2 linked regions of the Cricetulus griseus genome follow. The protein of the gene in region 1 purifies or fractionates together with the protein of each later gene. This does not show direct contact. Links are inferred from orthologs where the notes say so. Each region holds a gene or a part of one and is shown in the gene's direction. Other genes may lie near its edges.

Region 1 (5,828 bases):
TCCACCTGGCAATTAGATAGCGAGTTCTTATTCCATTCAATATCCTATTATGAGTTCCAGTTCATGCAGTGCTTACCTAATGGCTGAGAATGATTTTTGTCATTGCAACTATGTGAAATGCAATGCAGAAGGTATGATCAGAATGATAACCAGGAATGTCTGGGGGATAATCTAAGGCTTGCTGAGGGAACTGTTACTCTTACCTACGTGGAGTGGACTCAGCCAAAGGAGACGGAAAGGTTTGCTAGGAAAGAGGACATCAGGGGCATCTGGCCTCTCAGGCTTTACACATTGGAACCACTGTAATTTCACATACCGTGCAGGCCTCCAGAGAGCCCTGAGGAAACAATAAAACAGGGAAAAAAGGAAACGTGGAGCTGTTTCAGTACTGTGTCTAGAAGATGCAGGGTAAAACCAAGCAGGAAAAGATACCAGTGTAACAAGCAGGGGCTAGGACCTGGCTGGAGTCACACTAAGGGGTTTCTTTTCTTTTCTTTTCTGGATGACACATACTCTATTTAAACCCAGCAGGAAGTTTCCCCTTGATATCCCGACTCTGTAATTATAAATACAGTGTAACCCAAATTACATAGAATTAACAAATCTTCATTTAAAAGGAATTACTGGCAATTAAGACCTAATTCCTTGACAAAATAACATACAGTAGATTTTAATTGATTCTAATCCTTCCCATGTACTGTTTGTTACAATTAATACAAGGTCAATTCTTATTAAAAACTTTTAATGAAAATCCATCAGTTGTCTTGAACTTTGGTTTTTTATTATCTAGTTATTAAATTTTGCCAAGATTTAATTCCTCATAGTCACTTTTAATGAATCAGGTATCACTTTTAAGTACTCTCTATTTTTTAAAGATTTATTTATTACATATACACTGTTCTACCTACATGCCAGAAGAGGGCACCAGATTGAATTGTAGATGTTTGTGAGCCATCATGGGGTTGCTGGAATTGAACTCAGGACCTCTGGAAGAGCAGTCAGTGCTCTTAACCTCTGAGTCATCTCTCCAGCCCCCAAGTATCACTTTTAAATCCCTTTTCTTTTTTATTTTGTGTCAGTCATGCTCATAAATTATGTTCTCTGAGATATGAGTTTTAATTATTTTAGCTAACCCATGAGAAAATGTTGGACTATCCTCCTGTCCAGGTCTCAACTACTCTGCAGTCATAGAACCCCTATTTATGCTTTAAAATATAGAGCCCACCAATGCCCTTCTGTTCATGTGTATCATAGTTGTCAATAGTTGTTAACATTATAAATCAGAAAAACTACTAAATGCTAACTTAAAAATGTAATGTGAACACTACAGGCAAACACAATATTATTGAAAATAACTTTATAGAAGAGTGGCATTCACAATTTTTTCCAAATATTTTATATGTGTGTGACTTAATGGAAGACAGCCCAGTTCCCTTTGCTTCTCTCATTCAGACTGTGAGATACTGAACACTTACTTCATCAGCTTCCGAACTCCCCCAGGAAGGCAACAGACACCTCTGTTACGCTATGGAATGCTTTCAACCTAATGCACCCTCAAAGGGTCCTGGCGAGCCTCAGAGATGTCTAAACCAAACTTTGAAAACTACCGATGTCTTGCAGTAGCTTCCAATACAGACGGTTCCCTTACCATGTCACGTTAGGTGGCAAGAAAGTATTGTTTTCATGAGTACATATTTTAAATGCTCATTAGGAAAAATTCCAATTGATGATTAATTGCATTTAGAAAAAGTTGCAATTACGTTAAAGGCACAATGAATCTGTTCCAATATAAAGAAAGACCTTCATTTCTACATGTCCAGACGACCCACCAAAGCGTTTCCAATTTTCTGTATTTTTTTCCTATTTTTACCGTAAGAGTGTTTTACCTTCCCTGGGAAAACTATTTTACTTCACTAGTTGTATTGATTCGCAAAGTCATAGCAGTGGTGTGTGAAAAAGATTTCGGGGGAGTAGAAAGGATTTTTTTAAATTTTCTTTCCGAGACAGGGTTTCTCTGTGTAGCCCTGGCTGTAGACCATGCTGGTCTCGAACTCACAGAGATCCTCCTGCCTCCGCCAGCCGAGCGCTGGGATTAAAGGCGTGCAAGCACCACAGCCTGGGGCGGGGTGGGGGACAAAAAGCAAACCACATACCAAGTGCTCAAATGTGCACACTGTGCAACGGGCCAGCCGGGGTCGGAATCCCCGTTGTAATGTTTACCGGCGTGTCACTTAAACGGAGGTATCACTCCTTTGCAGGCCTGATCAATAACCAAGAGCAGCGCCCTTGAGCAAACAAACCACACAGGCTTGCACACACCGGCGCTCGGCGCGCGGCGAGCCTGGCTAACCGTTCGACCCGATCGGGGAGCCGCAGGTTGGGTCTGGCCGCGGGGAACCCCCCGCTAGTGTGCGCCGCCGCAGTCGTGCTCGCGACACTTCCGGTGGGAGGCCGGGCGGGCGGGGGGCGGGGGAGAAAGGGGCGGGGCGGGCGGGCGGGCGGGGCGGGGAGAAAGGGGCGGGGCGGGCGGGGCGGGCAGAAGGGGGCGGGCAGAAGGGGGCGGGCGGAGGTGGAGCGGCGTGAGGGGCACGCAAAGCGGCGCTCCCGGCAGGCTGTGCGCGGCCCTCGCTTCCTCCGAGCGCGTGAGCGGTTGATTGCGGGCCGGCCATGGCGCTTCACGTCCCCAAGGCCCCGGGCTTTGCCCAGATGCTCAAGGACGGAGCGAAAGTAGGTGACCCGGAGAGGGGACGCGGCGGGGCGGCGGGGCGGCGGGGGGGGATGGCGGGAGCCGCCTGCGGGCGGCGGCGGCGGAGCGGCCTGCGGGCGGGCGGGTGGGTCGGCGTGCGTGCGCCTGCGCCGCGATCCGGGCCGGAGAAGGTTCTAGAAAGCAGGCGCGCCGCTGACCCCCGGCCCCCGCCCTGACCCGAGCGGCCGGGCAGGGCTGCGGGCTCGCATCCCGCCTCCGCGGGGTCTCCGCGGGGGTGCGCAAGGGCGGGGCCGCCGCACCGAGCACGCGAGGGGCCTGCACGGCCTCGGGGAGCCGGGGAGCCGGGGATGCAAGGCGGCAGGCAGGGGCCTGGGGAGCCCGACGCTTCCTTCCAAACCAGAGACACCGTGACTCCCGGTTCCAGCCGCCATAGGTGGCTGATCCCGGCTTAGTTCCACCGCAGACAGACAGACCTCTCCTGAATTGAGGAGACCCGGCCAGAAGATGTCAGGGTCTTAGAATCCTGACTGCCACACGTGGTAGCCCCCGGCATAAGTGAGGCCCCTCCTGAACACGATTTCAGAGAGAGAGAGACGGAGAGTGTGTGAGAGACACACACAGTGTGTGTAGAGAGACTGTGTGTGTGTGAGAGACAAAGTGTGTGAGAGTGTGTGTATGTGAGAGAGAGAGACAGAGTGTGTGTGAGAGAGACAGCGTGAGAGAGAGACACAGAGTTTGTGTGTGTGAGAGAGAGAGACAGAGTGTGTGAGAGAGACAGTGTGTGTGTGAGACAGTGTGTGAGAGAGACAAAGTGTGTGTGGGAGAGAGTGTGAGTGAGAGAGTGTGTATGTGAGAGAGACAGAGTGTGTGTGTGTGTGTGTGAGACTTGTGTGTGGGGGAGAGACAAGAGTGTGTGTGTCTGGGAGAGTGTGTGTGAGAGAGAGAGACAGTGTGTGTGTGTGTGTTCACACTGCCTGTGCAGCCATTTGCTGAGAGATGTTCAAGCTGCCAGATAATTTCATTTTGTCTTCGTATTACTAAGACTTGTAGCGATAGGTAAGTGAATAGAATTTAAGGCCTTAGGGGAAAGAGAGGACTCCTAACAGTGTTGGAGAGCTAGGTGATAACCTGGGCATACTACATGGATGTCAGAATTTGATGTAAGTAGGTGAGTTGTGGAAAATGATATTGGCGATTGATTGCCTTTGCATCGGGGGTGGAGTGCCATAGTTTGCAATTTAGGTCTGACTCCCTCATTTAGATGGAGAAAATGGCACATTAAAAGCATTTGTCACACTCAGACCAGTGCTTTCCCTGGGATACATTATATGAATCGTTACTGAGAGGACTGAAGTGAAGACAGCCCCTCTAAGTCCCCAAAAGAATTTGAAATTAAGAGCAGGCGCAAATTGGCTGGGATTGTGGTGTAATGGTAAACTGATTTCTTGGGTTCAGTCCCAGGTTAAGGGTGGGAGGGAAAAATAGTTCTTCAGTAGGTAGGTGGTTCTAAACAGTTTGTCAAGTAGGAAGTGTTAGTTGTCCCATTGTTTTACATGTAGGAAAAATTACTGGGGCCTTTGTACTAAGGGGGGGAAACTAAGGCTATTTGGACTCCAGATTCTGTGTGCTCAATAAATGGTTGTGTGACCCTGGCACTTTATGAGAAGCATGATGAGCAGGGATACCCTGTGTTTGGAAGTTCCTGCCTCATGACCCTACTTAAGCAGATGTTTTCTTTTGCAGCATTTTTCAGGATTAGAAGAGGCTGTGTATAGAAATATACAAGCTTGCAAGGAGCTTTCTCAGACTACCCGTACAGCATATGGACCAAATGGTAATGGCCAATTTCACATCTTGAAGGACGTGTTAGCTTCTGTCTCATGCTGAATGCTAAATGTACAGGGAAGTTCTTGCAGGTTGTTTCATAGTTGACGGCACTGGTGGGCTCCTAGCTTTCAATCAGAAATTCAGCTTTCTAGGAAAATTAAATGACACTGTTATCCTAGTAGGTGATAGGAAAATTACAGCCCTTCAGTATTGATATAGCTCTTCATGATGGAAAGGGCTGAGCTGTTTTAAAAGTTGACATAGTTTAAGGAACCGCTTTCCTTTAACCATTTGAATTAAAGATACAGACTAGAGGATTAAACATGAGGCCAAATGTGTTTATGTGTGAATTCCAATTTATCAGTGCTTTCTGTATTCAGTGCATTGGGGTGTTTAGTCAGGAAAACCATGGGCTGTGTGGTGGGACTGAAAATACAGATCATATGTGCAAAGGGTTAAAAAGAGTCAGTGCAGCTTCTTCACCATGTTTTCTCTGTCTTGTTCGGGAGAATATTTGAATAATAATGGATTTTTTTTTCTTTGCAACTTTTTTTTTAAAGGAATGAATAAAATGGTCATCAATCGCCTGGAGAAGTTGTTTGTGACAAATGACGCAGCAACTATTTTAAGAGAGCTGGAAGTAAGTTTTTTCCAAAACCATCAAAAAAATTCTAACATAGACAAAGCACTACTTCACTTAGTTTATAAAGAACTGCTTCTTCCTCAAGCTTATTGTGAAGACTTATAAGTGACCAAAACAGTTTACTGTTGTGACTACTCAAAAAAACTAATTTAATTGTTTATGGAGGAACATAAAAAGCTTGCAAGAAAGCTCCTTGCAAGCTTGTATATTTCTATACACAGCCTCCTAATTTAATTGTTTATGGAGGGGGTGTGGAGTATTGCTGTGACTAGCAGATTCATTATTCTGGAGATTGATGCTAATACATATTTTTCTGATGATATAAAAGTATCTGGTAACTATTGCTGCTTTGTTTCTAAAGAACCAGTTGGAAATTGCTTTCTTTTGCTGCAGTTTTGGTGTCGAGTCTGTAGAGCAGATTTTTAAAGAGGACACACAGTTTTGATGCTTTTGTAAAATTTACTTTCAGACTTGGGATGCATTTTAGTTTGTAGGGTGCCTGCCTGGGATTTGATTCCCAATGCTATATAGCCTGAGTGTGGTTGCACACACCTGTAACCCTAGGACTCGGGATCTGGAGGCAAAAGGATCAGAAGTTCAAAGTCCGCCTTTAATCCTAGCATTCAGAAGAGACAGATGGCTCTCTGGAGT
Region 2 (5,828 bases), on another chromosome or scaffold:
CGGGAGGCAGAGGCAGGCGGATCTCTGTGAGTTCGAGGCCAGCCTGGTCTACAGAGCGAGTTCCAGGACAGCCTCCAAAGCTACACAGGAAACCCTGTCTCGAAAAACCAAAAAAAAAAAGTTGGAGACAGTGACCCACGCCAGTGTCCACCTTGCAAGCCTCTTCCTGCCTCAACTTCTCAAGTGCTGGGGAGCAGGAATCCGGGGAGCAGGAATCCCGCCCGGCGGACTAACGGGGCTTTTATTTTTAAAGGGGACCCCGCCGCCCGGGACCACCACGCGGGCTCTCTCCGGCGGGCGGGGCAGCCTCGCGCCCCAGCTCATCCAGAGCTTTGCTATTGGCGCAGCCCGGCCCAGCGCCTCCTGCTATTGGCCGCCGGGGACATGGCGCTCATTGGCCAGTGCGCTGAGTGACGTCAGAGACCCATGTGGGTGCTCTGGGAGCCGATTGGCTGGCGCTCCCGGCCACCCGTGGCGGAGATTGGCGGGTCCCCGGCAGCGGGCGGCCAGTCTGATTTAAGGTGGACCGAGCAGTCCGGCAGCTCCGAGCCTCAGCCTTTTCCTCCTCTCTGGTTTTGGAGAGCCGCCAAGGCAGGGGCAGCCGGGGGCCACGCTGACTCGGGAGGGCGGGAGATTCCGCGGTGCCCCCCCGCTGCCGGGCGTGATGGGGTTCAGTCCCAGGGACCCCGATCGCATCCCCCACCTCCACGGAGGCGTCGAGTCTGTGACTTCCGGACGCGCAGCTGCGGGGCAGAGGCCCCTTCCTCCGGGAAGTCCGCTCGGGTTCCCGGGGGCTCCCTCTGACCTTGGCCGCCTTCACAGCTGTGGGGAGGCTGCGGAAGGGGACCTTGGGCTCATCTTTGATAAGACCTGTGTGTCTTTGGGGGGGAGGGGATTCCAGGAAGTGCGAGCCCCAGAGAAAGTCCGGGAGCCACACCGCACATTAGGTCCCCTGGGATAAGGAGTCTGGAGCTGGAAGAGTGCACGGTGTGTGGCCTGCACGAGTGCTGCTGGCAGAAACCATGTCCTGGGTTTGCACCAGGTGACAGTACCGAGGCTGAGGGTCACTAGAAGGAAGGCCTATCCATCCCTGGGGGCCTATCCATCCCCTGAGGGGGCGGGGCGGGGCCGGGCCGGGGCCGAAAGGACTGCAGGGTAAGCGTGGTGACACGCACTGCGACCCTTACTCCCCAGGGGAGTCTGAGGCCAGCCTGGGCTACCAATAGCAAACGGGGAGAGGAAATACTGGGGTCCCAGACCGCCTGGGCACAAGGTGGGGACATAGTGTTTTCTCAGACTCCCCAGGAATCAGGAGCGTGCCCAGGATTTCTGGTGTGTTCTCCGATCTTGCTCCCTTGTCCGCTCTAGTTTTGAGCCAGGCCCTGGGGATAGGGGTGTGGCTCGGTCCTGACAGCCTAGGGAGGGACAGAATGACCTGACAGCCTAGGGAGGGACAGAATGACCTGACAGCCTAGGGAGGGACAGAATGACCTGACAGCCTAGGGAGGGACAGAATGACCTGCAAGGAAAAATGAAGCAGGAAACCAGTGTGGTGGAACCAGATTGAGGAGTAGGTTGTGTCCAGAGCAGCAGGTGCTGGGTTCTCAACCTATGGGTTTCGACCCCTGTGGGGTCGCCTGAGATCACCAGGAAACACACTACGATTTATAAAAGTTCAAGATCACAATTATGAAGTAGCAATGCAATAGTTTTATGATTGGGGGTCACCACAGCATGAGGAGCTGCATTAAATGGTTAGCGGCATCAGGAAAGTTGAGAGAACCACTGAGCTAGAAGATGCTTCAGGGACTCCAGGAGATGTTCGTTCATAGGGGAGAATCTGAGTGGTGGGAATGCAGAAGTGCGGAAGGAACCGTGCCCTGTACAGAATCTGCAAAGGCCCAGGGATGGATAGGCCTGAGATGGAGAGCATGGTGGTCCAGATATTGAGGGGGGGATTCATCCCTGACCACGCCCCCAGCCCCTCACTGGGGATTCTAGGCGGGGCTCCACCCTGACCACGCCCCCAGCCCCCCTCACTGGGGGATTCTAGGCGGGGCTCCACCCTGACCACGCCCCCAGCACCTCACTGGGGATTCTAGGTGGGGCTCCACCCTGACCATGCCCCCAGCCCCTCACTGGGGGATTCTAGGTGGGGCTCCACCCTGACCACGCCCCCAACCCCTCACTGGGGGATTCTAGGTCGAGATGGGTGTTGGGGGGCACTTCAGAAAGTTACTGAACACTCAGGGTGCTCCCTCCCTCTGGGTCTTCCTGTCAATTCCTGGCTCCCCCTGACTTTTTAAGGCTCCATCTACAATGGAGCCTTAATGACACCAACGGCTCCTGTTTGTTCGTCTCTGTCATCGTTTGTCTAAAGTCTTGCTTTTTGCACGGGCAGCTCCCGGTCTTGGCAGATCGTGGCTCATCTCCTAGAGTCTGTCCTTTTATCCTCGAAGTCCCGGGTCTCAGCTAACATCCTCCCTCTGCAGAATCTCGTAAAGGCCCTTGTCCCCTGTAGCTGACTTAGCTGTCCACAGAGGTCCAAATGTTCAAACGAACGAGGAGGGGTCTTTTCCCATGATCGTGATCGTCGTTGCCCAGTTTCCCAGGGCACAATTGTCCACAGTAGCACCAGGCATACACACATGTTTATTGATTTTGGCTTAAAGATGGGGCAGATCTGAGGTTTCTTCTCTGTGAAATGGGGTAGGAGCTCTCTTGTTCTGCAGAGTAGGAAACAAGCCCCCTGGGGGGGGTCCCTGGTGATAAGTGAGAGACACACTTGAGCTTGTTGTCAGAGCCGAGACTGATGGCACAGGCCTGTTGTCGCAGCTACTATAGGACTGAGACATAAGGATTCCAAACCCACGTTTTGCTTGGGGAACTGATCCAGACCTCATCTCCAAAAGTAAAAGGAGGGTTGGGGCATGGTTTGGAGCCTAGAATTCCCCAGTGAGGGTTGGAGGTGGTCAGAAGATGAGCTCTGCAAAAATGTTCTAGTGACCAGGTTCTATCCCCAGACCTAAGTTTCTGTGTACTAATTTAAGGTGTCTAGTCCTCTTGGACTCCCCACCCCCACCCGGTCTGAGGAGGCCACCCAGTGGACTGGTGGTGGCACCAACATGCATGTCAGGTTGCCCTGGTCTCTGTCCTGGTCCTTCACCCCTGATGCTCTGAGAGGTCACTCGTGAGGTCCCCACAGCTGGGCAGCATTGGCTAGTGAGCATAGCTGGGGTCTGCCTTTCCTGGGATTGGTGTTTGGGGGTGTTCATCCTTCATGGGGCCCCGTGTTACTGGCTCAAGAAAGACTCTTGCAACCCCCAGGGCTCCCGGAGTACGCAAGATTTTTTTTTCCTAACTTGTTTTTCTCTTTCATTCTTTTTTTTTTCTTTTGCGTGGGGGTGGGGCGAGAACAGTAGGCTCTAACTCAAGCCTCAGTTTCCCCAGCGGGTCTGGGAGCCAAGGAGGCAGACCGGTGCCACCTTAAGGCGGGTCCCGCCCGCGGCTCCCAGCCGAGCCCTGCGGAGAGAGGCGGCTCCGCAGCTACCGGCCACCAGCGCCGACCCCGGGCGGCGGCCACGGACCTGCGGCGCGGGCTGCAGCTGCCCCCGGGCCGGACAACCCGGGCGCGCTGGCGGGAGGTGGGGCGCCGCGCGGGGTCCAGGTCCCCTGCCCCCGGCAGGCAGGCTCTCCCTGGCTGCTCTTTCTTTGCGTGAAAATCCCTCCCCCAGCTCCGGCTTCTCTCCCAGCTTTTCCAGCCTCAGTCTCGCCGCACCCCAGCTCTAGAATAGCACCCCAAATTCTACCCTCTGCTCTGCCCCACACCCCACATTCTACTCCCAGCCTCAGCTTTGCACCCTAAATTTCTGTCCCCTGCTCCACCTCCGCACCCCAGCTTCCCTCTTGCCCCATCTCCAAGCCTCCACGAAGCTGGGCTGCCCCTTCTCCCATCCGTCCATCAGCAGGATGTACCCCCAGGGAAGGCACCCGGTGAGTACGGTGAGTACGGAGACCCCCACCTCTGACTGGAGCAGGGGAGGACGAGGGAGGGGATCCCTACCTGCTGGTGCCCGGAACTCCCCCCCCCCCCGTGTCCTTCTCCTCTATCCCCTCAGACCCCGCTGCAGTCCGGCCAGCCTTTCAAGTTCTCAGTCCTGGAAATCTGTGACCGGATCAAAGAGGAATTCCAGTTTCTCCAAGCTCAGTACCACAGGTGAGGGGGCCCCAGCTCTGGGCACTGGGAGGCCCCCGGGGGTGGGGACTTATGGAGGGGGCGTGGTCTGCAGGGCAAGGAGCGAGGCTCACCGGGAGGACTGGAGGGCTTCCTGGTGGAGACAGTGTTCCCAAGGTGACGTGAGTGGGTTTCTGGGAAAACCTTCCCTGAGGAAGGGTTTGTAGGCCTGGGCTCACCAGGGTTGGAGACAGTTTCTAAAGAAGTGTGGGGTGGGCAGGCAGCTCCTACCTGTCACGGAAACTGACCTACGTGGGGTGTGGTGAGGCGATCCCCCATTTTTGTCCAATCTTCCTGCCCAGCCTCAAACTGGAGTGTGAAAAGCTGGCCAGCGAGAAGACAGAGATGCAAAGGCACTATGTGATGGTAGGGTCCCGCCCTCGCTGCCCCCACTCTTGTGTTCCCTCTAAAGAGGGCAGCCAGGGACATGAGGAGCTTTCTCTGGGTGCCCTCCTCCCCAACCCCCAGTCTTGGACACTTGTCGGCCTCTCTGAGCCCAATGCCTTCTGGCTTCCCCCTCTGGGTCCCCGTGGGGTTCATGCTTCCATGCCTTGCCCTGAAGCTCCCACCCCTGAGGCTGGAGCAAGACTCCATGTACCCAGGATGGGGCCAGCTGTTCACACTGGTCAACACTGTCTCCTTTGCAGTACTACGAGATGTCCTACGGCCTCAACATTGAGATGCATAAACAGGTGACCGTTTGGAGTCAGGGGTTTGTGGGAAGGGATGATGCTCATCTGTGGGGCAGAGGCCATCCTCAGACATCTCTGGCGGTACCAAGGCCAGCAGAAGAGATTTTAGTCTTGTAACAAAAAGTATTCTCAGCATCTAGGGACAGTGGCCTGAGTGGGAACAGTAGAGGGAGTGGAGTGTCCCCATGGAGGAGGGCCTGGGCTGTAGGCCAAGGAGGGTTTGGAGGCAACTTTCCTTTCCAGCAGGGATTCCATTGTAGAGCCAAATCTCTGCAGTTGCATGACAGACCCCTGGGAGCCTGTGATGGACCCCCGGTGTCTGTGGTGGACCCTGGAAGCCCGTGAGTCTATGATAGACAATGGAAGTCTGGGAGCCTGTGGTTCACTCTGAGAGCCTGTGAGGGACCCTGGGAGCCTGGGGGCCTGTGATACACCCCCGGCGTCTGTTGGTAGTTTGTATCTGAGCCTGATGAAAGCCAGGGGGCCTGGGATGACTGTTGCTATGTGTTTGGCCTGCTGCCGTGGCTCATCTTGGTTCTGTATTTTGGAGACAGACCACGGGGTTTTGTGTCTGTCTCTGAGGGTTCTGAGATGGACTCCTAGTCTGTGAGTTCTGAGTCTCTTCACTAGGAGTCTGAATGTGGGCCCTAGGTTCTCAGATGGTCCTCAGGGTTCTGAGGTGGAATTCCAAGTTCTGAGCTACCTTGAAGGTTCTGAGATAGCCCTGAAGGTTCTGAGCAAGCCCTGGAAGTTCTGAGATAGCCCTGAAAGTTCTGAGCTAGCCCTGAAAATTCTGAGCAAGCCCTGAAAGTTCTGAGCAAGCCCTGAAAGTTCTGAGCTAGTCCTAAAAGTTCTGAGATAGCCCTGAAAGTTCTGAGGTAGCCCTGAAGGTTCTGAGCAAG

The links. Proteins that work in one complex are often made in the same cells at the same time.
Region 2: the proteins of Cct8 (region 1) and Tle2 purify together in Homo sapiens (affinity purification with mass spectrometry; 3 studies listed by BioGRID and IntAct, with this or other methods). This does not show direct contact. The link is inferred for Cricetulus griseus from reciprocal best matches to the Homo sapiens genes CCT8 and TLE2.

The regions. Positions count from the first base shown.
Region 1 is NC_048597.1:9,847,414-9,853,241, forward strand, and holds the start of Cct8 (T-complex protein 1 subunit theta), read left to right. Parts: upstream 1-2,565; 5' UTR 2,566-2,667; coding exon 2,668-2,727; intron 2,728-3,117; exon of another isoform or gene 3,118-3,262; intron 3,263-4,450; coding exon 4,451-4,541; intron 4,542-5,094; coding exon 5,095-5,174; intron 5,175-5,828. UniProt on the Homo sapiens protein: Component of the chaperonin-containing T-complex (TRiC), a molecular chaperone complex that assists the folding of actin, tubulin and other proteins upon ATP hydrolysis.
Region 2 is NC_048598.1:102,322,129-102,327,956, forward strand, and holds the start of Tle2 (transducin-like enhancer protein 2), read left to right. Parts: upstream 1-2,127; 5' UTR 2,128-3,222; intron 3,223-3,229; exon of another isoform or gene 3,230-3,337; intron 3,338-3,372; exon of another isoform or gene 3,373-3,644; intron 3,645-3,651; exon of another isoform or gene 3,652-3,922; 5' UTR 3,923-3,969; coding exon 3,970-4,002; intron 4,003-4,118; coding exon 4,119-4,216; intron 4,217-4,536; coding exon 4,537-4,600; intron 4,601-4,881; coding exon 4,882-4,926; intron 4,927-5,828.